Linked DNA regions of Oryzias latipes. The protein of the gene in region 2 purifies or fractionates together with the protein of the main gene of each other region. This does not show direct contact. Links are inferred from orthologs where the notes say so. Each region holds a gene or a part of one and is shown on either strand. Other genes may lie near its edges.

Region 1 (3,500 bases), on a different chromosome or scaffold from region 2:
TGAGGGTGGGGGCGGGGCTCTGCGTCTGGATTGGCAGCTCACCATGGCGGGCTGGAGGTGCTCTCCTCTGTAGCTGCGGACGTCCTCCAGGTCCAGAGTGGCCGTCACCACTTCCTGGAACACAAACGCTCAGGTGATTCTGACGAGCAGCTGCGGTCGCCACGGCAACAGCTGCCTGCAGACTCACCACGTCGTCCAGGGAAAACTGGTCGCCCCGAGCAACCACGTCCCCGTTCACAGCCACCATGGCACAGCCGTCATAGTAGACCCGGTCCCCGTCGCAGCCTCTCTGGTTGGCGTACAAGTAGATGCCCCCAGTCTGAAACCCCGCCCCCAAAGGTTAGACGCTCGGCAACCATTCAGTTCTGTTTCTATATAGCTCTACTGCAGGAGACCCATTTATCGAATTCTTTGAATCACCTTATGTGCTGCTTACAATTTCCAGTTATATACTCTGCCAGTTACAACTCCAAACAACGAGGAGTTGCTGTTTTAATTAATAAAAATCTTAATTTTACTCATAAGGATACAGTTACTGACCCAGAAGGCAGATTTGTAATCATTAATATATCCATTCAGAACAAGGACTTTTGTATAGCGAGTGTATACGGTCCTAATTTTGACGACTCTTCCTTCTTTCACAGATTCTTCACCTCACTCTCAGTCCACTCTGACTCCACAATCATTATAGGAGGAGACTTCAACCTTGTTTTGGACCCTGAACTTGACAGACTCAGCACAGCAGCAAACCAGCGTACATGGCGATCTGCAAGTATTCTAAAGCAGTACATGAATGATCTGGGTCTCTGCAACGCGTGGCGCTCATGTCATCCAAACACTAAAGGGTTCACCTTTTTTTCTCCAGTTCACTATTCACACTCCCGTTTAGACTATTTATTAATCAGTAACTCTCTTTTAAAAAATATTCAAAGCTCCAATATCCATCCAATTATTATCAGTGATCACGCACCAGTCTCTGTAAACATTTCTAGGGAAAAATCCACACCCTCTGGTACAACCTGGAGGTTTAATACGTCTCTGTTAAAGGACCAGGAATTTCTTGAATTCTTTAAAAAAGAGTGGGCAACCTTCTTAGACTTCAACAATACTCCCGATATTTCACAGTGTCTTCTTTGGGAAACAGCAAAGGCAGTCATGAGAGGGAAAATCATTTCTTATTCAACGCACAAAAAACGCAAAGAGAAAGCAGATTTATTAGAATTAGAAAATAAAATCAAAACCCTGGAGACTGCTTCTGCTGCTTCTGCACAGGAACACATTCTGGGAGATCTGAAAAATTTAAAGCTGCAGTTAAATGACATCATTAATAAACAAACACAATTTCAAATACAAAGGCTACGACTTGAAAGATTTGAAAACTCTAATAAATCTGGCAAATTTCTGGCTAATCAGCTTAAAATTAACAGAGAAAAATCATCAATCACCTCTATTATGGACCAAACAGGAAATGTCACCCATGACCCGGTCAAAATTAATAACGCATTTGAAAACTTTTATAAAAACCTGTACACACCGCAGATCAATCCGTCAGAGCAAAGTATTGACTCATTTCTTAATAATGTAAACCTACCCAGGCTAAATGAGGATCAAATCACAAACTTAGACTCTCCGCTCTCGCCGTCTGAACTTCATGAAGCTCTGTTACTTATGCCCAATGGTAAAGCACCAGGGCCTGACGGCTTTCCTGCTGAGTTTTATAAAGAATTCTGGGAACAACTGGCACCAACATTTTATAAAACTGTCACATCTATTAATGAGAGCCAATCAATGCCACCTAACATGAACTCAGCCAACATAATTCTTCTTCTAAAACCAGACAAAGATCCCACTAGTCCTTCAAGCTATCGCCCCATTTCTTTAATCAATGCAGATGTAAAAATTATCTGCAAAGCACTAGCACAGAGAATAGAAAAAATCACTCCTCACATAATTCACTTCGACCAGACTGGATTCATCAAAGGCAGACACTCGGATGACAATCTCCGAAGACTTGTTAATATAATAGACTTTGCCACCATTAAAAACCAGGAAATGACGGTACTATCGCTGGATGCTGAAAAAGCCTTTGACAGAGTTAATTGGAAGTTCCTTATTGCTGCCCTCCATAAGTTTGGTTTTGGAGAAGCATTCATCAATTGGATCAAAATATTATATCACAACCCCAATGCATCAGTTAGAACTAATAAACAGACTTCAAACAGGTTTTTTCTTGGAAGAGGAACCAGACAGGGCTGCCCACTCTCTCCTTCTCTTTTTGCTATATTCATTGAGCCTTTAGCTGCAGCAATAAGACAGAATGAGAGCATTATAGGAATAAAAACCAAACACAGCCATCATAAAATTAGTCTTTATGTGGATGACATATTACTGTTTTTAAGGAATTTACATTCTGTAAATGAAACAGCAATGATCATAAATGAATTCTCCTCCATATCAGACTATTCCATTAATTGGAATAAGTCTGTTTTATTACCACTCAACAGGAATATGGAACAAAGACTCACAATTCCAGTTAAAACAGGAAATATCAAATATCTGGGTATCTACTTTTCCCCCAAACTATCAGAACTGGTGCAGCTAAACCACACCCCATTACTGAAAAACATACAGGACGATCTAACACGCTGGACCAACCTGCCTCTGTCCCTTATGGGCAAGGTAGCCACGGTTAAAATGAAAATCTTACCCAAAGTTAATTATCTCTTCTCAATGATTCCCACACAACCGCCATTAAAATGGTTCAAAACATTAGACTCATCCATATCAAGCTTTCTATGGAACAACAAACCTGCAAGAATTAGTCTAAAAACTTTAAAATCTGCAAAAAGCTGTGGAGGATTAGAACTACCTAATTTCCACAAATACTTTCTTGCAAATAGATTACAATATATCTTAAAATGGTTAAAAAATAATCCAGAAACCAACTCATGGTTAGACTTGGAACAGGTGTTATGTGGAAAGATCAACCTGTCACAGCTACCATTTATTAGCCAAACAGTTAAAAAACAGGATTGTTTCAAAAGCATTAATATAAATGCCACCTTAACAGCCTGGTGGGAATTTCTCAAAATATCAAAATCATCAATTCAACCGTGCAAAATGACACCCATCTGGAACAACCCGGACATCCTTATTAACAAAAAAATGATTCACTTCCCAGCTTGGCAAGCAGGGGGCATAAAACAACTAGAGCACGTAATTATTAATAGAAGATTCATAACTCCCCAGGAACTTCAAGACAAACATGGAATAAATAACTTCTTGGAATATCAGCAACTTAAATCAAGTATTACTAAAAAGTATAAAATTAAAGACGACGATTTAAAGCTACCAGATGTAGTTACCACTCTGATTAATTTTTCAATGAATAGAACTCTCTCCAAAATATACAAACTTTTATGTAATTTAGATAATAATATTTCACTTCCGACAACAAAATGGGATGCGGATTTGAGCATCAGCACAGATGAAAGCTTCTG
Region 2 (4,008 bases):
TCAAAACCGACTTCATTTAGCAAAAAAGCAACATTTTAATCAAGAAAAAAAATTGTAAAGCTGAAGAATAAATAGCTTAAATAAGAAACTACAGTCTTAATGGGTCTGCCATGTTCTAAAGTTTGGTAAGAGTCATTCCTTTTGTGATTTTGCACTCTTTTCACTTTCATCAATTTTCTTGAAACAATTTTTCAATATATGGGTCTAAATGAGCCAGAATAGGTGGAATTATTACAGCTGCAGAATCCCATCGGAACTGATTCTTGCATATTTGAATTGTTTTAATAAGTTTTGTCAGTTAAAATGTTTTTTAGAAGAGCGGCGCCACCTAGTGACCAAACAATCCATGAAATAAGGCATGTTGACTGGATTTAAATAACAAAAAAGTGCCAATTACAGGTTTCTAAGTCACTTCTGATTTAGACACTTCATTAAACAAAAAAAGAAAGGTTTTCCATGAACTTTTTATTACTAAATGTCAAATAAGCAGCGGAGTTCCATTCACTCTTTGTATTTCTTTTAATGATCCACTAGCATCAAACATCACAACATACATACTCCAAATTTATGGTTGAATGGGGACAAATGAATGAAATCGGAATCAGGCATTTCTGTTATCAACATATCTACATTTAATACAGTTTCTCAAGCTTTAGGATTTCTCCAGAAAAAAAAAACCTATCTCATCAAGAAATAACGTTTTGAGTAAGACCAGCAAATTATGTACAATGTCTGCACCCCAAAACAAAACGACAACCAACAAGTCCGTATAACCACAAACACATTCAGCTGGAAAACCGGCCAACGGCAAGCACAGAACCATAATGGGTTTCACAAAGAGGGATGCTGGAGCTCCAGCACGCAAACACTTGGACTGAGGTATGGAGGAAAGAAGATGGTCGTAAGTCTTCCAGCATTTCTTGAATCTGAGGGGAGGGGCGGTGATGCTCACGTGGTTAATGTAGGCTGTCATTCCAGGTGAGCCTCAACATCTGAACACGGACAGTCGGGTCAGGATTCAGAGAAAACCACTGTGGCTCCCAGGTTGAAAGATTTCTGCTTTAAACGTCAAACCAGCAACATGAAAACGTTCTTTAAATGCAGCATTTCATCGTCACACTTCCTGTTCAAGGCTTGACATGATTACCCCAAAAGGACCAAAAACAAAACACCTTGAATCGTTGTTTAAAAAAATTTATGAAATACATCATTTATACATTCAGCTGATTTGAATTGTCTGTTATGGGGTGACTGATATGAAAAGGAAAATAAATTGTGTTAAGGTCCTGAAAAGTCTTGCAGTAAAATGTTGCATTTGATGTCAAACTTTTATACAAATAAGTTGACCTTTAACAAATGGACAAATGAAAAGCCATTCAATGGGGAAAAAAAGGCCAAATTCAAAACTAAAAATGATCATTTTTTTATACTTGTTTTTTTTTAAATATTAGTGTTTTACGTGTAACACTTGAGATCAAAGCTTTTCAATAACTGTGGCACTCAGAAACAGCAGGAAAGAAAAGCAGGAAATGTGCAAAAAAGACCTGAAAATGGCCTCGATTTGATCACAGAGGAGTCGAGCGGAAAAAGACTAAAAAACTAAAAGAGACGGACAGAAAGAAAGAGAGGGGTTCTTAAAGGGAGCAGCATATGAACACTGAGCTGTGGAGAGTTGCAGCAAGAAGTTTTACAGCAAAAACTGAATGCAGGGAGGAGGCAAACCGAGATCCACGGCTCCCACTGGGCAGTCCAGAGTGCGGCTTTTCCTGCTTGTGTAAGATGCATATCCAGGCAAGGGGTGATCTGTTTTCAAAAGCCTTCAGTAGTTCAGGCTTCGTGTTGAGTACTAGGTGGAGGTGGGGGGCATGAGGGAGAAATGGGAGGTGCTTTTTTCAGTAGTCCTCCACCCAACCATTCTCCTGGATAAAGGCATCGATCACTTCCTTCATAGCCAGGTTAGGGATCAGCTGATCCTGGGTCAGGGGGCTCCGGGTGACCGGGTCGAAGTGACCGACTCGCTGCAAAGACGTTTTCATGAATCCATCAGTACTCTACATGCAAAATGTATGGAGGGTCAATGAGAGGAATCACACAACTGCACTGGAGGTTTACTCTAAGACCCACTCCGATGAAAATTGCATTTGGTGTTTTTAGCTTGTTCTTGTAGCCTTTTTCTGATGATGGAGGACATATATGGAGAAAATGAAGCTAAAAATTACATTTCTGAGTATTTGTTTTATTCAAACCGTTGTGAATCAGGAGAAGACTGTTGAAAAATAGTTTTTTTGTGATGTCAAGGCTTCCTGCTCTGAGCTCTCACGGGAAGGGGGAGAGGGGGTGGGCTTGCTCCCCTGGCAATACTCCAGGCCACAACTCATTTCAAATGAACTCCTGCCACTCTGCAGAAACTATATTCTAGAAAATGACAGCTTTTCTGATTTTGCCTAAAAATATAATAACTATTTTAAAAATACCACTGGGAACGCCTTAAAAATAGATCAAAAGATGATCGGAGTGGGTCTTTAACGATAGCTTATTTAGAAAACAAAACTATTTGGAAGCAATCAAAGTGCTGGAGGACAAAACCTTTACCTGTAAGTGCTCTTCGATGTCTTTGCGATCATACGTGATTCCGCTTGGTGTGATGCAGGGTTCTCTCATCAGCTCAAAACTGATCTTTCCACACAGATAATCCGGGATCTCCCGCTTCTGAAAAGAAACAATCAAACTAATTGTGAAGCAAAGAGTCGTCTCTCCTCTTTGACAAGATTCAGAGCATATCTGTTCATTTCTGAACATTACATACACTTAACAAAAAAACCACTTAAGTAAAAGAAAAATTGATTTCTGTTTTTTCCGCCCGTTCCTTGAAAATTTGTCTCAAGCATTTTAAACCTCTACTGTTTTATTTCAAAAACAGCTCATTTGTTTGCCAGAGAAGGTACACAACAGTGAAAGAAACCAAAAACCATATTTGGTTGCTAAGAAACTGCATCATTATTTAAATTATAACCAAACTGCTTTGTTGTCAAAACATACTGGCAGCTTTTCTGGGCTCTGAACTTTAGAAGCAGAAGAAAAAAAAACACCTTACTGGCAAAAAAACAAAAACTCATGCTTTTATCCTTGCAGATAACATTTAGCTATATTAGAAACGCACACCGTAACCATAGAAACAAACTAAGCATTACAGCATTACATCATTTTATCAGTGATATCGATGTCAGTTGAAAATAAAGAAACAGAGATCAGCAGCAAACATTTGCATTAATGGTTTCTAATTGTGCTTTTATGGTAGCAATGAAAGTGTCATGTTAGCATATACAGATAAATGTCACCTGGATTTTCAATATCTAACTTAAAAAAACATTAATATTTCACAGAAGGATCCAAAAAAAAACGACTTTTGATACTCACTTTTCTTTTTTCGTCAACTTGCGAGAAGAGCTCTTCCATATCCAATAAATATTTGTCCTTTGCAGGTCACAGGATGATAAAAGTAAATCAATAAATCAAGAAGATCAGACATGTCAAAAAATGTGGAACAGCTGCTGTGGCTAAATAGAGTAAATGTAAAAGCTTACATGTCTTGACGCGATCTTGGCAGCATCACTTCCGTTCTGATTGTCATCGTGTTTTTCTTTGTAATCACCCAGCTCTCTTTAAAATATTAAGTTATGGTGATATGGATTGCAGATTTTAAAAAAGCAATAATTGAAATAAGTAGATTTTTCCCAGGAGAGCTCACCTTTCCTTCTCAGCCAGAATGAGTTTGGTCAGATAAGCGTGTAACTCGTTCTCCTGGTTGATGCGTTTCTCCTCAATGCTGTTCCAGCGTTTTTTCTTGGCGATGCGTAAAGCACTGGGAATGTCGTCTCCAAAATTCAGCCTCTGTTCTTTCGCCAAGTTATAAGCTGTAAAAACAATGGGAAGGTTGACAAATAAGTCAATGAACTGCTGACCAAATCTTTTCCTTCCGTGTTTCGTTGTTGAATAAAAGCTGCAGAA
Region 3 (3,500 bases), on a different chromosome or scaffold from region 2:
ACAATTATGAACCAAAAATATCTTTAAAGTGTTTAAGCGATGTATTTATTTTTTTACCCCTGGTGTTCATATTAGGTATCTGTGTTTTGTCCTTTACCAAAGCTGCATTCTGGAACCAATATCTGAGCTGATTTCATGGCAAAAATCTTATTAGTACACACAACTGATGTTAAAATCGAATGTAGCAAATGATTGATGAAATCGTCTGTGCAAGTCAAAACATCTAGGCCAATATTGATACAGCTAATTTGATTAATCATGATGCATTTTCATGTAAAAGGATTTTGGTTTTCCTTGGAATCCAGTTTTATTCATAAGGATACTAACTAACTAAATACAGTGATTGAAATAAAATTAATGGAAAAATCCTTCCTCGCACAGAGTTGAGTTCGTACCGAGCATTTAAATAGAGTTATCTCATGCAGAATAAAGCCATAAACAAAAAAAGTTTCTATTTGATGGACAACAAATTTGTATTTAGATCGTGCTAATGGGAGGGAAGTACAGTTAAAGCTCTGATAACGTCTTGAGAGCGAAAAAAACAACAACAAAGACACCACACAAGGCGATGTGCTACATGTACACCACACCCCATAGTGTAAAGAGGCAGGTGTGTGGTCAGAAGTGTGTGTGCTGTTCTCAGAGGACCTAAGAGGCAGAGCAGTTGTTCTGTAAATGTTTCCTAGACCACAACTTCAAAGTTGTGTTTTTTTTAACCTGCATCTGCTTATTTCTGGTGAGCATGAGTGTGGGGTTTTGTTCCTGTCAAGAGCATATAGGTGTGACAATTATGACACTCAAATGCTGAGAAACTTTGACTTTTTTTTTTTCTCAGACCGACGGTTATTGTTTTACTTTAGGACGTGAGATTGCTTTACGCAAGAAGAACAAACACACAAAAACAGAATCTGCACATGAGGAGCAACAACAGCATCTTACCGTTATGCGACATGCCGACGTTGAGGCACTTCTGGAAACGACAGTATTGGCATTTGTTGCGGGACTTCTTGTGAATGCGACAGTGAAGGTCGCAGTGATCGTACACCAACTTTAACCTAATAGTGCGCCTGAAGAAACCCTACAAAGGAGAAAAAAGAAAAATGGTCACTATAGATGCAATTCAACTTTTTTTTTACACTCTTGCAACTCAAAAGATTTGCTTTTAGAACCCTGTTCGTTCTCCATCAGCACTCTGCAAAGCAATGTCTGAATCTCATAAGAAATGAATAAAAAAAGTCCAGATTTTATTTTTAATTATGAATCCATCTCAAGCAAAGTGTGGTAAATGAAAGCAGATTACTTTTGGGTGGAACTGCACATGAGTGAAGTTGACTTTAGGACCAAGAAGCCATAAGATTGTTACTTATCGCAGCCATTAGCTCTGTATACACGGTCAAACTCCTAATGAACACATGCAGGTACACTCTTTTTCTTTTTTTTTGATGACTGCGCCGTCTGAGCTGATTGTAGAATCTAATCACCACAACCTATTGAAGCCTAAATATAAATAAAGACTTAAAAGGGAATTGCATAAACATTCCCACCTGAACTCTGTATTTCTTTTATGTTCAACCTTTTTTTTTTTTGCAGACATATATAAATATATTTTTCAAATTGTAGGTTATTTACAGAAGGAGGAAGTTAAAGAGGGTCAAGGCTCCTCCTCATTAAAGAATGTTTTTCTGTTTTAAAACAATTCAGGGATTGCCTGCTTGGCTGACCCCTCTCTTCTGGTGAGTCTCCCCTGAGACGTGAGCAGAACAATAACCACTGTATTCCCCGTACCTTACTGTGTACAGCCTTTGAAGATACAGTACGAGGAGACTTGAAAACAGAAACTCCTTCAACTGCAGCTACCAAAATAGTGGAAAAAAGGCACAGTTTGTTACTCTCTTTGTTGTCAATTATTTGTACTTGGGAATGTATAAAGATTTCTTCCAATAGGTTTGAAAATTTGACTTTTTTTTTTACTGAAAAATACACTTTTTTGTGTATTTTGTGTGTCTTCTGTGTCTTTTGTGACCAAAAACATTTGGCGGTTAGCAGTTGAAGCGACGAAAGCTCTTCTTTTTATACCATTTTTCAAATTTGTTTAGTGCTTAAAAATGTGTTTTGGGGAAAAATTCTGCAAATATTATGTCAGTAAATGTGAGTCTCAAGAATTATGAGATCATGTGTTGTTGCCTCTTTGTAATCATATTAAAAAAAAACTGGAATGTCACTGATCTTTGAATAGAAATGGAATTCTAGGTAAAAACACAGATAGATATTTTAAGACAACTCTGTCACTTTTAATATCAAATATAAGTTTGTGACATTTTTGAGACACAACAGAAAATCCTTTGATTCAGGTGAAGACTCTGACAGATTGAACTTTTTTCTGTTAATCATAGTGAACTTTAAAACAGATTTCTCCAAAAAAGTCACTTACACTTAATATTTAGGAATTTTTTCATCTCTTAGTAATTTGAATAAATCCATTTAGTAAAAGTTGCACTGAGAAAAAAAGCCTTCCAGTTCATTCACTTTTCTAAATTTTCTTTCTTTTTTAAAAATGAATGAAAGAAAATAGAGTTGATATAATATAGAATATTTCAATCATTATGCTTTTAGTTGGATGATTAGATCTTGCAACTAACTGAAACGCATCTTCAAAAGTGTTAAATTACTTAAGACATATAACAAAAAAAAACAAAAAAAAAAAAATAAAACAAAAAGACATAACAAATAGCTTATTAAATGTGAGTATGGTCAAACATGCACCCTAAACTTGAACGCTCTATGACAACTTTAAAATGATAAAGTATGTCAAAAATACTTTTAACGCTGCTTTAAGAAAAAAGAGAGTATCTATTAGACACTAAGTTCTTTATAAAGTTAGCCTTCTTTTGGTAAATGCTGCCTTATGGAAGAAATGATTGGACTTAATAGTATTACAATATTCAATCTGCTGCAGGTTTGGTCTTTTATGAAGAAGAAAAAAGACACCTTCTTCCAATAAATAATTATGGCATGAATGTTTAATTGGACTGTGGTTTATATTGCTAAATTCCTCGATGGCTACTCACTAAAGTGAAGCTTCAGCACAATTTCAATCAGGAAGATCCAACTCATTTACAGATGTCCTGGGTTGTTCCGTCACTCGTCCTTAGCAATTAGCCCTTCACTTTTAAACGAATTGCTTTCTTCTCAGCCAATCATAGTCATATTTTTGTAAATTCATGATTGTGTGTCTCTCTCCCTGCTTTCTAGATGGTCCCCCGGCCCTCCTCCATCCTAGGAGAGATGCTTTGGAATGGTTTGGCCTCTGACCACCATCAGCGTCTAGGCTCTAAGGTCAGAGTTCAACCTAAGCACGGATCACCCCAGAGCCTCACCGCTAAAGAATAAGGACATTATTAATTTATATTTTCCTCTTTATTTGTACTATTCCAAAAATAAGATTTTACTCCACACATACATTTCTAAGCCCTAATTAAACAGACATTGTACTTTTCTTA
Region 4 (4,160 bases), on a different chromosome or scaffold from region 2:
TTGGAAAGTCCACCATTATCGCTCAGAGAATTTTCATTTTAACTGACAACAGTTACGATTTCTCTCATTTGAAGCCTTGGTAGAAGTTTTGGCTACAATTCCGAACACTTTTGGGTTAGGATTAGTTGTATGATTTCTGCTTCCGGCCCGATGATGTCCGCCGCCATCTTGAAACCAAAGAGAACCAGAAGGATTTCTGGAGGTCTTTGCTGCACGTGGACCCTGGCGCAGAAATCAAAGATCTGCTGGGAGAACTCTTTGAATGTTTGGGTGCAACTCATCACACGGGGATATTTTGAAAGCCACACTCGATGGGGCATTCAGTGCCTCGCATGTACAGTCTGTGCAACAGATGTTCTGCAGGTTGGACGAAAACAACACCTGTTCCACATCTGTTGGACTCGCTTTGGTCCGTTTTTTTATGGGCGTTAACCTAATCGGTGGAACATTAGAGTCCCATTAACAGGTGCATTCTGCAAATTATGTTTTGGAAGAAAGGTTATGGAACCTTGACAGTTTTTAAATGCCTCCAGGCTTTGAGTTCGTACTCCTCTCGACGAAGAAACGAGACCCATTTTGGTGTCCAGATGTTACCGTCTGCTGTCCACCCGTTTTCGATTCCAGCCCCGTTCACTTTTATGCACACGCTGTTAGATTGCACACTTACTTGAGAAAGTATCTCTGGCCGGAGCTGGTCTTGGCCATCTCCCAGCCTGGCGGCAGGGGCACGTCGTCGGGAATCTCGTAGGACGACTGCCGGAGATGTTGGGGGGAGGCGCCTGCTGAGGCCATCCCAGACAGGGAGCCACCCGAAACGGCGCCCAGCTGCAGGGAAGCTGGAGACGAGTGTGCGCGTACGTGGTGGGGGGTGAGCACGCCGCCACTCCCAGCATCAGTGCTAGCCTGAGTTACAAAGAAGATGTTTTATTTATTTTTTTACATTGTTTCAATACATTGATAACTAAATGTCACATATTTTCATGTACCTTTAGAGGACCTGCTTGCTTTAGTCCCCTATAAACTGTATTTTTCATTGAATGATCATCTGTGACTACATACATGTTTTGTCTCGTTTCCTAATATCTATAAACTGTATGTTTTGTGGGCTGGGTTTGGAATTGTTTAGTCTTCTTCTGAAGTTCTTCTAGTTTTTATTACAGTTTATGCGTGCTTTCAAAAATAAATGCATAAAGACAAGCTTTTTTATTTGAAATGTAAACATATATGGGGGGGATAAACAACAAATAGTAAAGTTGGCAGGTGGGGGTTTTATTTAGTTTTTTTTTGTTTTTTGTTTGTCTAGGACCCCCCCCCCCAAAAAAAAAATTTGCAGTACTTCTGCATTATATCTAGTTTATTAGCGACAAAGACAAAGACATTATTTATCTTGTTTGTCCCAATGAGGAGTATCACAGTGATTCATTTTGGACTGTATTATAAAACAGCAGCATAATGAAAAATCTCTAAAAAATGAAAAAAAAATGATCATTAAGTCAGACTTGAACACTGTTGAGTCATCTGGATGTGCATCCAACTTGTGTCAGGGCCCACAGAGATAATCCAAGGCACCAGAGGGCCTGCACGGCGCATGCGCACTAGTTACAAAACTTCGGTAAGCAGTCGAAAGGGGAAATTGGGAGGGAGGGGTTGATGGGGTAAATCCAATCATCATATGATTTCTATATTGAAGCTGTATTAAAATAAAATAAAAAGTATATCTAACTAACCTTTAAATGACTGTTTATAAATGAATTAACAAAGTTTCGCAATAAAGTTTTATGTTCAAATAAATGTATCCACATTTCTTGCAAAACGTTTAAACTTTTTTTTAATGTTTTGATGATTTTCTTTTAATTAAAATTATAATTTGCGCTTACAATACATTTAAAAAAACGGACTAAAATCGTGATTTTAACAAAAAAACTAGATGGAGCGGTTGTTTTGAGCAGAGGTGGCCGTGTTTAGGCCGGGGCCCCCGCGGGATTGGAGGGGGGGGGTCTTACTTGTCTGGAATGGGACTTGGGCTCCGGGGGCTTGAAGAAGGAGTCCGGCAGCTTCCTCATCCTCATGGGCACGGACTGGGGCACGACGGCGCCCTTGGGGTTCATCACGGCGTTGAAAAGCGCCTCCAGGTCCGTTTCCGAGTCGCCCCGAACGTGAACGATCTGGTGTCCGACAGGAGGGTTGTGCTGGCTCGGATCCATTGTTCCACAAGCGCTCTGCGAACTCTTTGCGGCCCGAAAACGTTGAGTTACGAAACTTTTCAAAGGCGGTTCGAGCCGTCCCCGAACTTTTTTTTTTTTTTTGTCAAATCTTTAACTTCTAACGAAACTTAGTAAAAGTTTTGCAAAGTCATGACTTTTTAACGTCGGTCTACTTTTTCGAGCGGACCGCCGCGAGGCTGTTTTCGAACGATGTTAGCTGTCAAAATCAGCAGAGAAAGGCCGCTTTCCTTGGCTTTTCCCAGCTGACATACTTGTACATAAAACAAAGCGCATATCTGCTCCACTCTGGAATCTGTATTGTCGTCCGGACCCAGCTTTTACTCCCCCCCCCTTCAGAAAAAAAGTGCCGCAAAAGTTGGTGAAAAAAAAAAAAAAAAAGGTAACACCACCAAAGTTCAGGCAGTAAAAAGAAGTCCCGGCATTCCCAATTTCGGAAAAGTTTCAAAACTTTTTCCTCCCCAGGAATTTTCCAAGGCAGACTCAGCGCAAATCTGTGCCGCTCACTGCCCCGAAAAAAAGTTTCCTCCTGTTAGCCTAAACTTTGAGCAGGACATAAAACTTTATGGCTCATGGGACGTCTGCGCAAAGGGGGCGGGGCCACACTCCAACTGGGATGAGTTAAAGGTACAGGCAGTTATCCTGAGACCCATTTATCCTGCAAAAAAGCATTAAACTTAAGACTGCGACAAAATAGCAATTATGAAGTATACAACAAAATTATAAAATATAGCTTTTATTTCTATTTACCTCGATCTTTAAGAAAATATTAAAATAACAATAAAAGAAAATGTTGTAGTTTCAAAAATGACCACTAGAGGCTGGTATCAGAGGGAGGTCGTTTTCTATTGACTCCCCTCCTACGAAACTACAAATTTAGACCCTAAATTTACAGATGTGCTTCCCAGGATCAGTTTAAAAAAATGTTTTTTGCTTTGAATTTAAGCGTCCAGTTACCAAATGTGAGACAAACCCTAAAGAACTAAATACTGCAGTTCCTAAAATGACCACTAGAGGCTGGTTTCAGAGGTAGGGGATTTTCCAATGACTCTCCAATTTGAAAAACCACAAATTTACACCCTACAGGTAGATTCCCAGGGTCCCTTTGTTCTTTGATTTCTTTTTTTTTTTTTTTTTTTGCTTTTAATTAAAATATCCAGTTACCAAATGTAAGAATTCCTGAAAATATTAAATGTTGCAGTTCCTAAAATGACCAGTAGAAGCTGGTTTCAGAGGCAGATCATTTTCTATCGACTCCCCTCTAAAAAAAAACAAAAAGGAACTTTAAACATTGAATTAAGAGGTTTTCCAGGATCCCTTGTTTGTTGACGTATGCTACTTTGTTTTCCATTTATGATAAGTTTGTTTTACAGGGGAGTGTTTTGAAATGGTCTGTTTTTTATTTCATTAAGGAACATTTTTTTTTTTGTATAATTAGCGATAAACATACACAAACAGTGAAGTGACCATCTATGATGTCAAACACAAATTTCTAATAGACAAAAATGAAGCCTGAAATGAGACGCCTATATTGACCAGAGGTTGCTCTGTACAACTAAACAGACCTATTGACAAGAAGAAAACCCCCAAATGCGACATTAAAATCCTGATAAATCTGTTGAATTAAACTCATCTCTGTGCTTCACACACAGACAGATTTGATCCAGAAAAGGCCTGCAGAAAGTCCACTTTAGAAAATAGCTGCGAACATAAAAGGTGCCACGATTTTTCCCAAGAATCTTGAAAAGAACAATTTTCTTTCAATCGCTGAGGGAAATGGAACAATCTCTTCTTTCTTTTTTCTTTTTACACTGTATGTAAAGTAGAGCCATGCAAGTTCCCACAATTGTTATGCTAATGAGGCCCCTCTTCCATTGAGAAATCATTTTGTCAAGAACCTCCTTCTCTAGATACAGAAGCATCTCTGTCCCATACAAT
Region 5 (3,500 bases), on a different chromosome or scaffold from region 2:
TAGTACTCATACACAGAGCGATTCATAAGGTCCTCTGGGTCATAACCCATGAGCTCAGTGATCCTGGATTAAACAAAACAAAGATTTTCTTTAGGTCTAGACTTTCAGTACCAGTACTGAACAGTAGGGGGCTCTGTGTGGTTACAAATGTTTTAAATGAGTTCACACTCTTAACCTTTTGCTCTTACTGTATTAAAAGGAGGAGGAGGAGACAAAACAACAAAAAAAAACCCACCTCTCATCACAGTAAGTGAACTTCATGTCCATTGTGTGGCGGCTGAGGAAGGTCTTGGTGTCCAAAGGGACCTCGATGTTGGAGGGGTGGGGGATTGGGTCACAGATCAGAACCAGGTACGGAACAGGAGGCTCTTTTTGTCCGTTACTGTTCTGCTCAGCTTCAACGCTGTTAACGTGCACGCGACCTGAGCAATGAAGCACCTGCAGGCACAAAACAGTAAAAACACATTCAGTATAGGACAACAAAATGCTTTCCTTTATTTTGGATACAAACATTTCACCTATCTATATTCTAAAAGAAAAAGAAAAAAAAAATCCCCTTCTTAAATTTACAATATATCAATACCAAATGTGTCGTTTATCTGCTTTGTGATCCTGCCAACTGAAGTGTGTTCAAAAGGCAATGAATGCAATCTCATTATGATTATTGTGTAACTTCATTATTATCTTATTACAGTCGCACTGATACAGAACAGGCCTCACATTAACCAGTCATGCAGCTTCTAGAAGGTTAAACAAATAAAACCTCACACTCAATAAAAACTAAACATGAAAAAAACCTGATAAACTTGACCACATGTCTATCACTATTGAAACTGACATTGACGTTCTGACCTAAAATATTGTTATGACTTGAAAATGACCCCAACCTTCCATGTAGCTGACTTGACATTGACGGTGCGCCCTCTGCTGGTGAGTGTACACTTCATTCGGAGGAAGAAGCTGCGCTCTGGATTTGGTTCTTTTGCTTTCTTGGAGCCTAAACACACAAGAAATGTTGAGCTTGAGTTGACAGAAGTAAACCAGAGTTACATTTCAAGCAGCTACAAAGAGGAGGCACTGAGCTACATACATACTTTCACTGGGGTGAAGACTGATTAAAAATGAGGGGGGGGGGAGGGGGGGGTTGGGCTGGAGGCAGCAAATCTGCTCCAAAAAGCTCATTTTAGTAAAAATCATTTTCTTAGCTAAATGTAATTAACATCAACACCCAGCAGCAAATCAAAGGTAAAACATGTTTGCTCATCACGATGTGAGAAAACTCTTCTTATCAACGTTACATCTGGGATGCAGGAGTTGGTTTTCCTCTGAAGTTGCTGCAGCTCACCTGTTCTGTACACCAACATCTCCCTAAGCTCCTCCTGGTCACAGGGATGTGTGTAGTCAAACACATTGTGCCCGGTCAGGTCAAACTGCAAAAAGATGTCAGCCGTGAACAACTGTGGAGCATCTCCATGCGTTCCTCTTTCTCGTAGGAAGTCTAGCCTTACTTCCAAACTTCCTGTTTGCTTCTTGAAATTTTCTACTGTCCTGTTTCTGATATTACGGGACTAACCTGTGCCAGCCCAAGGCATTTGTTGACATTCTCTGAGAGATAAATCATATCTCCGTCTTCAGACAGCACCATGAGAAAACCGTCCAGAGCCTTCATGTAGGAACTGTTGAATTTCATATCAAGCTCTGTTTCCTCTTCTTGTTTAGGCTCATCTGGTAAAATAACATGAAGTTGGGAAAGAGATTAGAGTGAGGCAGTGTTAATAAACAAGAAGAAATGTCAACTTTTTTGGGACACTAAGCAAACAAAAGCAGCCTGTAAGGTTGTGTGACTCAGTATGTTTAGAGCAAACAACTGGTTTACAGTTACCCATTTTTTCAAACTCCACGTGTTTAAATGTTATCATACTTTTCTTGATTTACCAAAACAATTGTTTTCAGTTTGCTCTGCTTTCCCGACAACATAAATTAAACATACTAACCGGTGCCGAGTAGTTTTCTCATACGCAGGTAACTTATGGTCAGTCTCATGACTGACGCTTTGTCCAGGCTGGAGCTGACGTTGTGAGGGAGCGGCAGCAGCTTGGCCAGCTCATAAAACACCTCCGACTCCTTCCCACGCCGGCTCCTCGCTGCATCCCTGGATTTCTCCTTCCTCCGCTCTGAACTCACTCTGCAGGGAAGAGGCGGTCAATCAGCAACAGCAATGCCAATCACCAGCTTTGATGAACTTCACACTAAGACAGACATCTGACCAGCCTTTATTCAGTCAGCCAAAGCTTTAGACTTCTAGGTAACTGACTGTACTTTCTGGTATTTTGCAATTTAATCAAAAATGATATGTATTTTAAAGCTTGGTTTATTAAGCTTCAGATGGAGACACAAGACAGATTAAGGTACATTTTCATGATTTAGGTTAACTTGGGCCAGCAGCTCCATCAGACTTTTATTTGCTTTTGATCCAATCTGAATTTGTTCATGCAATGAACCAAGAACAGATTAATGGGCTGTCTACATTGTACAAGCAAAATCTAAAGATTAACACACTAAATCTGATTCTCAAAGAGCATAAAGAAGCCAACATTTAAACTATCGAACTAAACAGGAATCCTGAAGATCCTTTTTGATTGTATGTTTACCTTACAAATACCGATTATCATCGACTACACCACTTCCAAAACATTTGAGGAGCCGCCCCTCAAGGACCACTGTTTGCAAAAAATAAATAAATAAATAAATAAATAAACCAAAAAAGAAAAAAAAAACTTAATTGTAACATCAAATATCACTTAAAAAAAAAAAAAAAAAAAAAAAAAAAAAAAAAAAAAAATCACAAATAAGTTGATTCTGTTTTCTTTTTCACAGCAGCACAACACGGTGCCGCTCCACTCCATTTTGATGCATCCACTTATAGACAAATAGATCTCTGTATGTCTTTGTTTTCCTGGTTGGAGACGGCATCTGGCTGAAAACTGTACGGCTAGATAGCTAGATATAGATAGAAAGATATTCCTCATCATTTTCGCTACACTGATATGGTTAGCTTGGGGTTGTGAGTGGCTGTAAGCTAGCTGGAGAGCATGTAAACAGATGGGGGGGGGTGGGGGCTTGTTTCATGCCACGGTTACAGGCCACAACTTATGAGGAGAGTCACTCTTGTCAGTCTGCAGAAACTGTTGTAGAAAACGACAGTCTCTTTTTTTGTGCCTAAAAACAACATAATCATTATTAAAAGACCACTAGGAACACTTTTGAAATGGATCAAAAATGATAAATGGTCTTTAGAAATTGTTATTTATATTGTAAGTGTTTACAATGGTATTTTTCTTTTTGGGTCAGCAACAATTTTTATTAAAAAAGAATGCAACTTAAGATGCTGAAAAATCAAGACCGATTATTGTTTAAAAACTACTACCGGTGGTTTTGGAATCAGAGCTTGGTAAAACAATGGCTTTAAAGGTATACTCAATTACAAACAATTATTACAC
Region 6 (4,241 bases), on a different chromosome or scaffold from region 2:
ACCTGTGAATTGACTACCTAAAACTGCACGCTCCCGTCTCTGAGAAAGAGCGCGCAGATGCGGGGACGGGATGTGTGAGGGAGAAAGCAGAGGGTGGGGGTGAGGTGTTGTGGGGACAGGCAGCAGGTGAATCGCGCAGGGATTGTAATAACGTAAAACCCACTGCCCGTCACTCACTGCAGCGTGTGAGTGTGTGTTTGGCTCCGCGTCTGCATGTGATCAGTCTGTCTCACATCTACAGAACATTCAGACCTACGATCACGTTTAAAGTCTCAACGCCTGAACGAAGCAGAAACTCACCACGTATCAACCAGACTAGACCATCAGCAAAACTACCACGAGAAATACTCACCATTTATTAGCAACAGAATAACAATGTTATTAAAAAGAATCCACAGACTTATTGTACTTTAAAAATGTTGAAATTAAATCAAATGCACACATTCATTTGTATATTTAGTTTTAAACAAATTGTCGCGGACTGAGTTGGATGGCTGTTGGGTCGCGTTAAAAGTTCTGGAGTTCATTGAACGCGTCAAGCAGAGATCTGATTGGCTCTCAGTTCTGTCGCTCAGCCTGTTGTTAGGTAGTTTGGACCAATGGGGTTCAGCTATGGGCCGAATAAGGGTAATGGGAGGGCTGCAGCGGGAGGGGGGAATATAAAGTTGGGAGACGCGCTCTCGTCTCGGCGGGAGAGATTCAGGAGTTGCTGAATTAATTGCACGGCGTTTGTTGCGGTCTGCAGTAATCGGAATAAAGAACTTTAAAAGAGGTTAAGTCTCCGTGCCTCACTGTGGGGAAGGGACACTACATTATTGTATGGCTCTTTCGAAATTACATTTCAAAATATGTGGCATTTATGGCTCTCTTGGCCAAAAAGGTTCCCGACCCCTGTTCTAAACTGTAATGAGCAGGTGAGTAAAGGGGATGGTTTAGGTGCTTTTCCTTATTCATACCTTTCTGGTCAGGGTGTGAGGTCAACAGGTTTAGCAGGAGGAAAGCAGATTTGGTCCGGAGCTTCTCGTTTTCAGACTGCATGCCTCTCATCAGCACCGAGAATCCATCATGAGCCAAAAAGGCCTGAAGCCCGGCTTCCTGCTCTCGAACCAAACCTGCAGTCAAACAGCGTTACACCGTTGGACAACTGTGTGGAGCTCAACATCACTCATTTAGAAAGACACACTTAGAGCAGCTTTGGTCAGAGTGCCAGACAGGAACTTACATGAGACCGCATAAAGTGCTTTGACCCTGACGGTGGGGTTCGGGTCAGAATCCGTTAGTTGAAGCAACTTTGGAAGAGTCCCAATACTGAGCAGGTGGTCCTGAAGCTGTGGCATGTTCTGAGCACAGGAGGCAATGAGCTCAGCAGCACGCCACCTCAGCCCGCTCTGGACGTGACACAAATACCGAGAGACACACAATTCTAGTCCACCAAGCACCATCAGATCTGTAAAAAACAGAGAAGAGATGAATTAATTTAGTCCATACCATCTGGAATCATGTCAACATCTGCTCTCACTATCATTTCCAAAAGCGATTATCACAAACCTCTAGCATTATCCAGGTTCTCGCACAACTCTGACAGCATCTCAAAGGCCGACTCCCGCTCGTCCTCATCATCTTCGTCCCTCATTTCTTCTCCATTTTCATCCTTGTCACCCACATTTTCTTTACGCAGGACGGACAAGCACTGCTTTATTTGTTCTACTTCATCCAGCTGGCCTTTACAGACTTCAGAAAGCGCTTCCCGCAGCCACGTTTTTCTCTGAACCCAAAGCAAAGGCAGTTGTTGGTCAAAAACAAAGTCCCCAATGGCAAAAAATACAAATAAAAACAAGGACTGCGCATGAAACTAAATCTTAAAATGTAACCGTTTACAAAAGTAAACGGGAAAGTTGTTATAGGTCAGATTTAACAAAAATGTTTAAGGTCATACTTAACAAAAAATGAATCACAAGGGAACAGTATCAAACATTGTATCGGGTAAAGAAAGAATTGATTTAACTCTTTCTTAAATTTAAGAACATGCATGCCATTTAAAAATTCTTAATAGCATTTTACTTCATTCCGATAAATAACTGTTTTTTCCACTAAAGAAGTTGAAGTAGTGTCACATATAAAAGGTTGGGTTTACTGCTTTTGAAACCAAACGATTTCAGAAAAGAACTCACAAATAAATACATGTTTCATTCAACTGAGACTAATTAAATCAATTGATCATATTATTTAGTATGAAATATCCTCCTCACATAAACATGGTGAAACAGTGTTTAAGAACACTAGGTTCAGGACTGTAGTGAATTGAAATTCCCTAAACAAGCAGGTTTACCTCCTCTGACATTGGCTGAACTGGAGTTGGAGCCTCTGCTGCTGGTCCAGCATCTACTGCCATCTGTAAAACCCCCTGAAGATTCCGGGGATATCTCCTGCCGTTCTGTTCGCCTTCCGACATGTCTTCTTCTGTCCTCACAGCTGTGCAGACAAAACAGAACAATTAACAAATATGTCCTGCGAAATGGTAATACATGTCTTCAACAAAACAGGCTATCTCTGGGAGCCTATTTTAATTATTTAGCTTACAAGCTAGTTCTGTTCTGACAAAAGCACTGGTCGCTAAGTAAGACAAAAATGAAAAGCACATCAACAACAAACTAGCTGTAAAAAAAACTTACTTACGTCCTATTCTGCTTTAGCTCTAATGTCCAGTGATCTTTCTGAATGAAGGAGTTGTTGCCGCAAGTCCAACCTTAAAAACACAAACACGTGAACACACTGGAAGGTTCTAGGCAGCACCCGTTGACGCATGCGCACTCTTTTTTTTTTACCGTAAAACACCAAAAGAGTCCATGGGAAAAATATCTTTGTCAGGTGTCTTTGTCTAATTTTTTTAAATTAAATTTTTTGTCCTAAGATTAACGTTTTTTACTGTACTAATTTGAAAATGTAAGTTCAATCTTACGTTAAATTACATCATAATTAATGTCAAAATTATATTGAAGTATTAACATGATTACGGTATAGAGACTTCCGATTGAGGTTATACACCCAAAGAGCATCAGTGAAATTGAAATTAGTATCTTCGCAATCTACTATGTGCATTCATACACTGAACTTGAAGAAATGTTTTTGGATTAAAACTAAGCAACCTTATTCTCGCAGGAAAAAAAATGTATGACTTTTTTATTCATACCTTTGTTCTAAAATAAAAAATATATAAAAATAAATCAAAAAAATAAAACGTAGACTCAAATGTTACAAACATTTTTTTCATCATCGACTTACAAATATAGACATCTGGCAGTGCAGTACATATATCAATAAAAAAAATAATAATAAGAAGAAGACATTTAATCTTAATTGATTTGTGTAAATAGTTGATTTTGGTTATACATCTACTGACGACGGTTGATCGAGTAAAGAGGAAGTTAGGTCCGTCAAGTCTCTTGATGTCGGAAGTCTTTGGTCACTGCCACCGTCCAAGATGGCTGCGCTTGTAGGGCTTCGAGCGTGTTTCTCCGGTAAAATAGTTCAATTGTTTTCAGTTGTATGAATTTTTCTGTTTCGAGGGAGCTAGTAGGATTAAAGCAACGTGCTTTTCTGTTTATTATCATAAAATCTTTGAATAAATGACTTTTAAAAGAACACGATGCTGCTGCTGTGATAGCAGTGCAAGGTCACGTTACCAAGAATAATGAGGGTTAGCTAACCACAGGGTTGACAGGAAAAAATAACATTTATGATACATGTTATCAATTTAAACTTTGTTTTTACGAATAAAAAACTATTTCGGTTGCAGAATCTCACTGGAAAGAGTGTATCCAGCCTTCAAACCTGGTTGGAATTGTATGTTTGACATCTTCATCATGTTAGCTAAAGAAAGCCTGTGTTAAATTGCTTTAGTTTTGTATACAATTTTTTATTTCCTCCAATATTTGTTTAATTCAAGATGCTGACTTTATTTGCACAAGCCAAATAGAAACCTGTGTTGTGTAGGCCAGTGGTTCTCAACCTTGTTTTCAATAATGTACCCCATATATTTCACAATTTTTTCATGTTTTTCGTCTTTAAAGTGTCCGCCATAAACAGGGCGTGTTTATTTGTTGACATTTATCATTTTTACAAAAGTACCAAAAACTCAAGAAACCTTCAAATTAAAAGAGTACTCGTATTTTTTTATTTTTTTTGTCTGTCAGCAAACAACACAACAATGTAATACACAGACATGTATTTGGGGGGAAAAG
Region 7 (3,500 bases), on a different chromosome or scaffold from region 2:
AGCCCAGTTTGAAGAGTGCAGAGAAAAGATCATCGAACAGCCCAACATCATCCGTGACCTCTGTCACATCCTGTACTACGGAAAGGTAAGAGCGATGCCTTCGTGCATCTACAGGAAAAAGTCTTCATATTATGACTTAGACACTAGAGAAACCATCTTTAAAGAGGATGTTTTAGCTTTTTATAAACACTATTTTGCCAAAAATCATACTTTTATTGAAGATGTGAGGGTTACGTTTTAAAAATTAGTGAAATCTGTGAAGAATTATAGACGCCAAAAGGCTGTAAAACGAAACACTTCTTACTCTTTTCCCTGACAGACATGAATATTTTCACACTCTTATCTCTTGTTTACACACTCAAAGAATAACACTTTGCAGAAAAGCAAGTAAAGTTTTTTTTAAATGAAGACAAAAATCAGATATTTATGTAAATTTGTCAAACTGAGCGCATTCTGTCCAGGAGACATTATACAGATTGGCGAGGTCTACGGCCAATCCGAATGCAGAACACAGTGCGCTATAAAAAAAAAAAAATTAGAAGAACATGCAACATTGCACTGAAATCCCTGAGACGGCAAAACAGGAAGAGATGAAGTGCAAAGCAGCGAAGGAACACTTTACAAAGCTGGAGGTCTTATTGTTACAATATGATCATATAAAAATGTACAAACTAAAATAGAAACGTTAGAGGACATCAATAAAATAAGCCTTTCTTTATTACATTATTACTTTTGACCTTTAGGTTTTTGCCAAAGTTTTAACCTTTTTTCATTTTTTAGGTCAATAATATTTGAAATAATCTAATAATTTGATTAGATGAGTTCAAATAATTCTGTGTATTGAAACGGTGGCAGAGGGCTCTAATTTAATATTTTCCTTCTTTGAAGGTGCCAGATCTTCTATGAAGATGCTAAATGTTGTCCACTTAAAAGTCATTTCCTGTTCTTCTTCCCCCCCAGACTCTCCCAAAGACTGCAGCTCTGGCAGTTCAGTGCGTCAGCTCCTTTGCGGTGGATTTCTTCCTGCAAACCCATCTCTTCCACGCCGGCGTGCTCTGGCACCTTCTAGGCTACTTGTTCGGCTACGACTACACCCTGGAGGAGAGTGGCGTTCAGGCCAACCAGGACACAAACCAGCAGGAGGTGGCCAACAACTTAGCCAAGCTCAGCCTGGTAGCTCTCAGCCGTCTTGGAGGCTTCGCCCACACGCCAGACGGCAACAACCCAGTTGCAGAGACCAACGGCGTGGAGGGCGCCCCTCCCGAGAACCCCACCATCCGCAAGAGCTTAGCTGCCATGCTCACTCCGTACATCTCAAGGAAACTGGGAACGGGAACTCCCGCTGAGGTCATTTGAACAAGAAGACCGCAACCACTTCTGTAAAGAGAAAAACGGCTTTTAGCACTTATTTCTGTCTGTTCAGGTCTTGAAGCTGCTGAACAGCAACTCCGAAAACCCCCACCTGATCTGGAACAACGGAACTCGAGCCGAGCTGCTGGAGTTCCTGGAGGCACAACAGGAGGGGAACATCAAGAGGGTAAGACTCAATGCTCACACGGGCATTTACAGTCTCGGGTCGTCTTTTTCAGAAGTCCGTTTCCTTCACAGGGAGAAAATGATAAAAGCTTCGGTGCAGACTTTGTGTTCAGCGATCACAGCAAGGAGCTCATAGTGGGGGAGATCTTTGTGCGAGTCTACAACGAGCAGCCCACCTTCCCCCTGGAGGTAAGTCGGCTTCTGTTCATCTTTGGCTTTTGTCGTGGAATGATCAGAAAAACGCACACAGTGACATCAAAAATAACATTTTGGGTTCATCGAATATTATATTTTGGTTTACCTTTTTTTTTTTTACTAGAAGTAGCTCAGGAGTATAAGTCACTGGAGCAAAAATTGACGTAATAAAGAAGAAAAAAGTCATATATGAGTCGCACTGAAATATAAGTTGCACTTTTGGGAGAAAAATGAGATGCTTCTAAACAACACCGCCAAGCCCGGCATAATGCTGAATTCACACCAAGCATGATGTACGCAAGAAATTCACATCAGCTGCCTCTCTTTCGACGTGCGTCGAATTTTCTGCTCAACACTTCTCCATAAACATGTTCATAAACTAGACACTTGCGTTGTGTTTGTGTGTGTGTGTGTGTGTGGGAGGAGCTACCATCAAGCGTATTTCGCCTCACTGCTACATGGAAGGCTTGACATGATACGGATGATGTCCAGAGATTTCAGTTTTATTTAGAAAAGCGCCACAAAGGCATCGGTAAGGGGTGGATGAGATCATTCAGAGACTCTCCCAGCATGCTGAGGTTATGCAGCAGAAGCTGCGTCTGAATGACGGACGCTCTCAGCGGCACTTCCGTGTCTCTGTAACCGCGTTTAATGACTTTCCGAGGAAAGAAAAGATGAAAACAAGAATGAAAATGACTCGAAACAAGAATATAAAGTTCAGGAGGAGAATGATCAGATTCCTCTCATGTTTGATTTGGACGGCGCTTCTTCTTCTTCTGCATTGCTGTCAGTAGTGAACACTGATACACTGACCTGCAGTGCCCTCTACTGGTTGTTAGTATGAAAGTTGCAAAGATATGAGCCTATAAATTCCAACCTCACACCTCAGTATGAGTCACTCCCCTGGCTAAACTTTACTGAAAAATGTGACTTGTACTCTGGAAAACACGGTAATAGGCATGATGAATAATGTACATTTTGGTCTGTATTTAGTATCCCAAAGCGTTTGCTGCCAGTCTGCTGGACTACGTTGGCTCCCAGGCCCAGTACCTCCACACGCTGCTGGCCATGAGCCACAGCAACAAGGTGGAGTCCCAGCAGCACGCCGAGAGGCTTCGCTTCGCTGAGATGGCTTTAGAAGCTCTCCGCAACGTCATCAAGAACAATCCTGGTAGGGAAGACGACACCAGAGTGCGGTGGTCCACAGAGGAATCCTGACTCTCTGTCATCTCTTTCTACGCACAGGTTCAGAGACCGAGTGCATCGGCCATTTCAAGCTTCTCTTCTCTTTGCTGCGCGTCCATGGAGCTGGCAGAGTGCAGCAGCTGGTTCTGGAGGTGCGTTTTATGTCCTCTCGATGCGTCTGTGTATCCCAGCAGATTGTAACGGTTTTGGTGTCCCGTTAAGGTCGTCAGTACTGTGACGTCAAACCAGGAATGTGTGGGGAACATTGCAGAGTCCATGGTGTTGTCCAACTTGTTGCTGCTGCTGCATTCTCTCCCCTCCAGTAAGAAACTTCACGGTTTTATCGTCTTTTAGGGTTTATAGTTTAACTTACTGACTTTGTTGCATCCTTCAGGCAGGCAGTTGGTGTTGGAAACCCTTCACGCATTGACGTCAAACACAAAAATTGTGAAAGAGGCTATGGCCAAAGGTCATTGCAGACGTTATTCATGTCTTCTGAAATGTTTTGAGTCTGAATTTTTGCAAGGAGACTTATGCGAGTTCTCTGGTCCCGCAGGTGCTCTCATCTATTTACTGGACCTCTT

The links.
Region 1: the proteins of stub1 (region 2) and nadsyn1 purify together in Homo sapiens (co-immunoprecipitation; 3 studies listed by BioGRID and IntAct, with this or other methods). This does not show direct contact. The link is inferred for Oryzias latipes from reciprocal best matches to the Homo sapiens genes STUB1 and NADSYN1.
Region 3: the proteins of stub1 (region 2) and pparg purify together in Homo sapiens (affinity purification with western blotting; 3 studies listed by BioGRID). This does not show direct contact. The link is inferred for Oryzias latipes from reciprocal best matches to the Homo sapiens genes STUB1 and PPARG.
Region 4: the proteins of stub1 (region 2) and yap1 purify together in Homo sapiens (affinity purification with mass spectrometry; 3 studies listed by BioGRID and IntAct, with this or other methods). This does not show direct contact. The link is inferred for Oryzias latipes from reciprocal best matches to the Homo sapiens genes STUB1 and YAP1.
Region 5: the proteins of stub1 (region 2) and hif1a purify together in Homo sapiens (affinity purification with western blotting; 3 studies listed by BioGRID, with this or other methods). This does not show direct contact. The link is inferred for Oryzias latipes from reciprocal best matches to the Homo sapiens genes STUB1 and HIF1A.
Region 6: the proteins of stub1 (region 2) and hspbp1 purify together in Homo sapiens (affinity purification with western blotting; 4 studies listed by BioGRID and IntAct, with this or other methods). This does not show direct contact. The link is inferred for Oryzias latipes from reciprocal best matches to the Homo sapiens genes STUB1 and HSPBP1.
Region 7: the proteins of stub1 (region 2) and dnajc13 purify together in Homo sapiens (affinity purification with mass spectrometry; 3 studies listed by BioGRID and IntAct, with this or other methods). This does not show direct contact. The link is inferred for Oryzias latipes from reciprocal best matches to the Homo sapiens genes STUB1 and DNAJC13.

Annotation. Positions count from the first base shown.
Region 1 is NC_019861.2:38,222,793-38,226,292, forward strand, and holds part of nadsyn1 (glutamine-dependent NAD(+) synthetase), read right to left. Parts: intron 320-3,500; coding exon 188-319; intron 115-187; coding exon 43-114; intron 1-42. UniProt on the Homo sapiens protein: Catalyzes the final step of the nicotinamide adenine dinucleotide (NAD) de novo synthesis pathway, the ATP-dependent amidation of deamido-NAD using L-glutamine as a nitrogen source.
Region 2 is NC_019877.2:8,950,354-8,954,361, forward strand, and holds the end of stub1 (E3 ubiquitin-protein ligase CHIP), read right to left. Parts: intron 3,915-4,008; coding exon 3,749-3,914; intron 3,661-3,748; coding exon 3,585-3,660; intron 3,475-3,584; coding exon 3,418-3,474; intron 2,710-3,417; coding exon 2,593-2,709; intron 2,019-2,592; coding exon 1,893-2,018; 3' UTR 501-1,892; downstream 1-500. UniProt on the Homo sapiens protein: E3 ubiquitin-protein ligase which targets misfolded chaperone substrates towards proteasomal degradation.
Region 3 is NC_019863.2:9,220,182-9,223,681, forward strand, and holds part of pparg (peroxisome proliferator-activated receptor gamma), read right to left. Parts: intron 1,079-3,500; coding exon 940-1,078; intron 1-939. UniProt on the Homo sapiens protein: Nuclear receptor that binds peroxisome proliferators such as hypolipidemic drugs and fatty acids.
Region 4 is NC_019871.2:6,488,494-6,492,653, reverse strand, and holds the start of yap1 (transcriptional coactivator YAP1), read right to left. Parts: upstream 2,801-4,160; 5' UTR 2,205-2,800; coding exon 2,004-2,204; intron 904-2,003; coding exon 668-903; intron 1-667. UniProt on the Homo sapiens protein: Transcriptional regulator with dual roles as a coactivator and corepressor. Critical downstream regulatory target in the Hippo signaling pathway, crucial for organ size control and tumor suppression by restricting proliferation and promoting apoptosis.
Region 5 is NC_019880.2:11,961,647-11,965,146, forward strand, and holds part of hif1a (hypoxia-inducible factor 1-alpha), read right to left. Parts: intron 2,186-3,500; coding exon 1,995-2,185; intron 1,726-1,994; coding exon 1,574-1,725; intron 1,431-1,573; coding exon 1,346-1,430; intron 998-1,345; coding exon 888-997; intron 439-887; coding exon 236-438; intron 64-235; coding exon 1-63.
Region 6 is NC_019866.2:14,512,615-14,516,855, forward strand, and holds the start of hspbp1 (hsp70-binding protein 1), read right to left. Parts: upstream 2,801-4,241; 5' UTR 2,677-2,800; exon of another isoform or gene 2,673-2,676; intron 2,478-2,672; exon of another isoform or gene 2,473-2,477; 5' UTR 2,453-2,472; coding exon 2,330-2,452; intron 1,766-2,329; coding exon 1,549-1,765; intron 1,448-1,548; coding exon 1,223-1,447; intron 1,113-1,222; coding exon 957-1,112; intron 1-956. Other genes in the region: tufm (elongation factor Tu, mitochondrial), read left to right, coding at 3,482-3,518. UniProt on the Homo sapiens protein: Inhibits HSPA1A chaperone activity by changing the conformation of the ATP-binding domain of HSPA1A and interfering with ATP binding. Interferes with ubiquitination mediated by STUB1 and inhibits chaperone-assisted degradation of immature CFTR.
Region 7 is NC_019878.2:21,481,510-21,485,009, reverse strand, and holds part of dnajc13 (dnaJ homolog subfamily C member 13), read left to right. Parts: coding exon 1-85; intron 86-960; coding exon 961-1,347; intron 1,348-1,423; coding exon 1,424-1,537; intron 1,538-1,608; coding exon 1,609-1,725; intron 1,726-2,724; coding exon 2,725-2,902; intron 2,903-2,976; coding exon 2,977-3,068; intron 3,069-3,138; coding exon 3,139-3,238; intron 3,239-3,310; coding exon 3,311-3,385; intron 3,386-3,472; coding exon 3,473-3,500.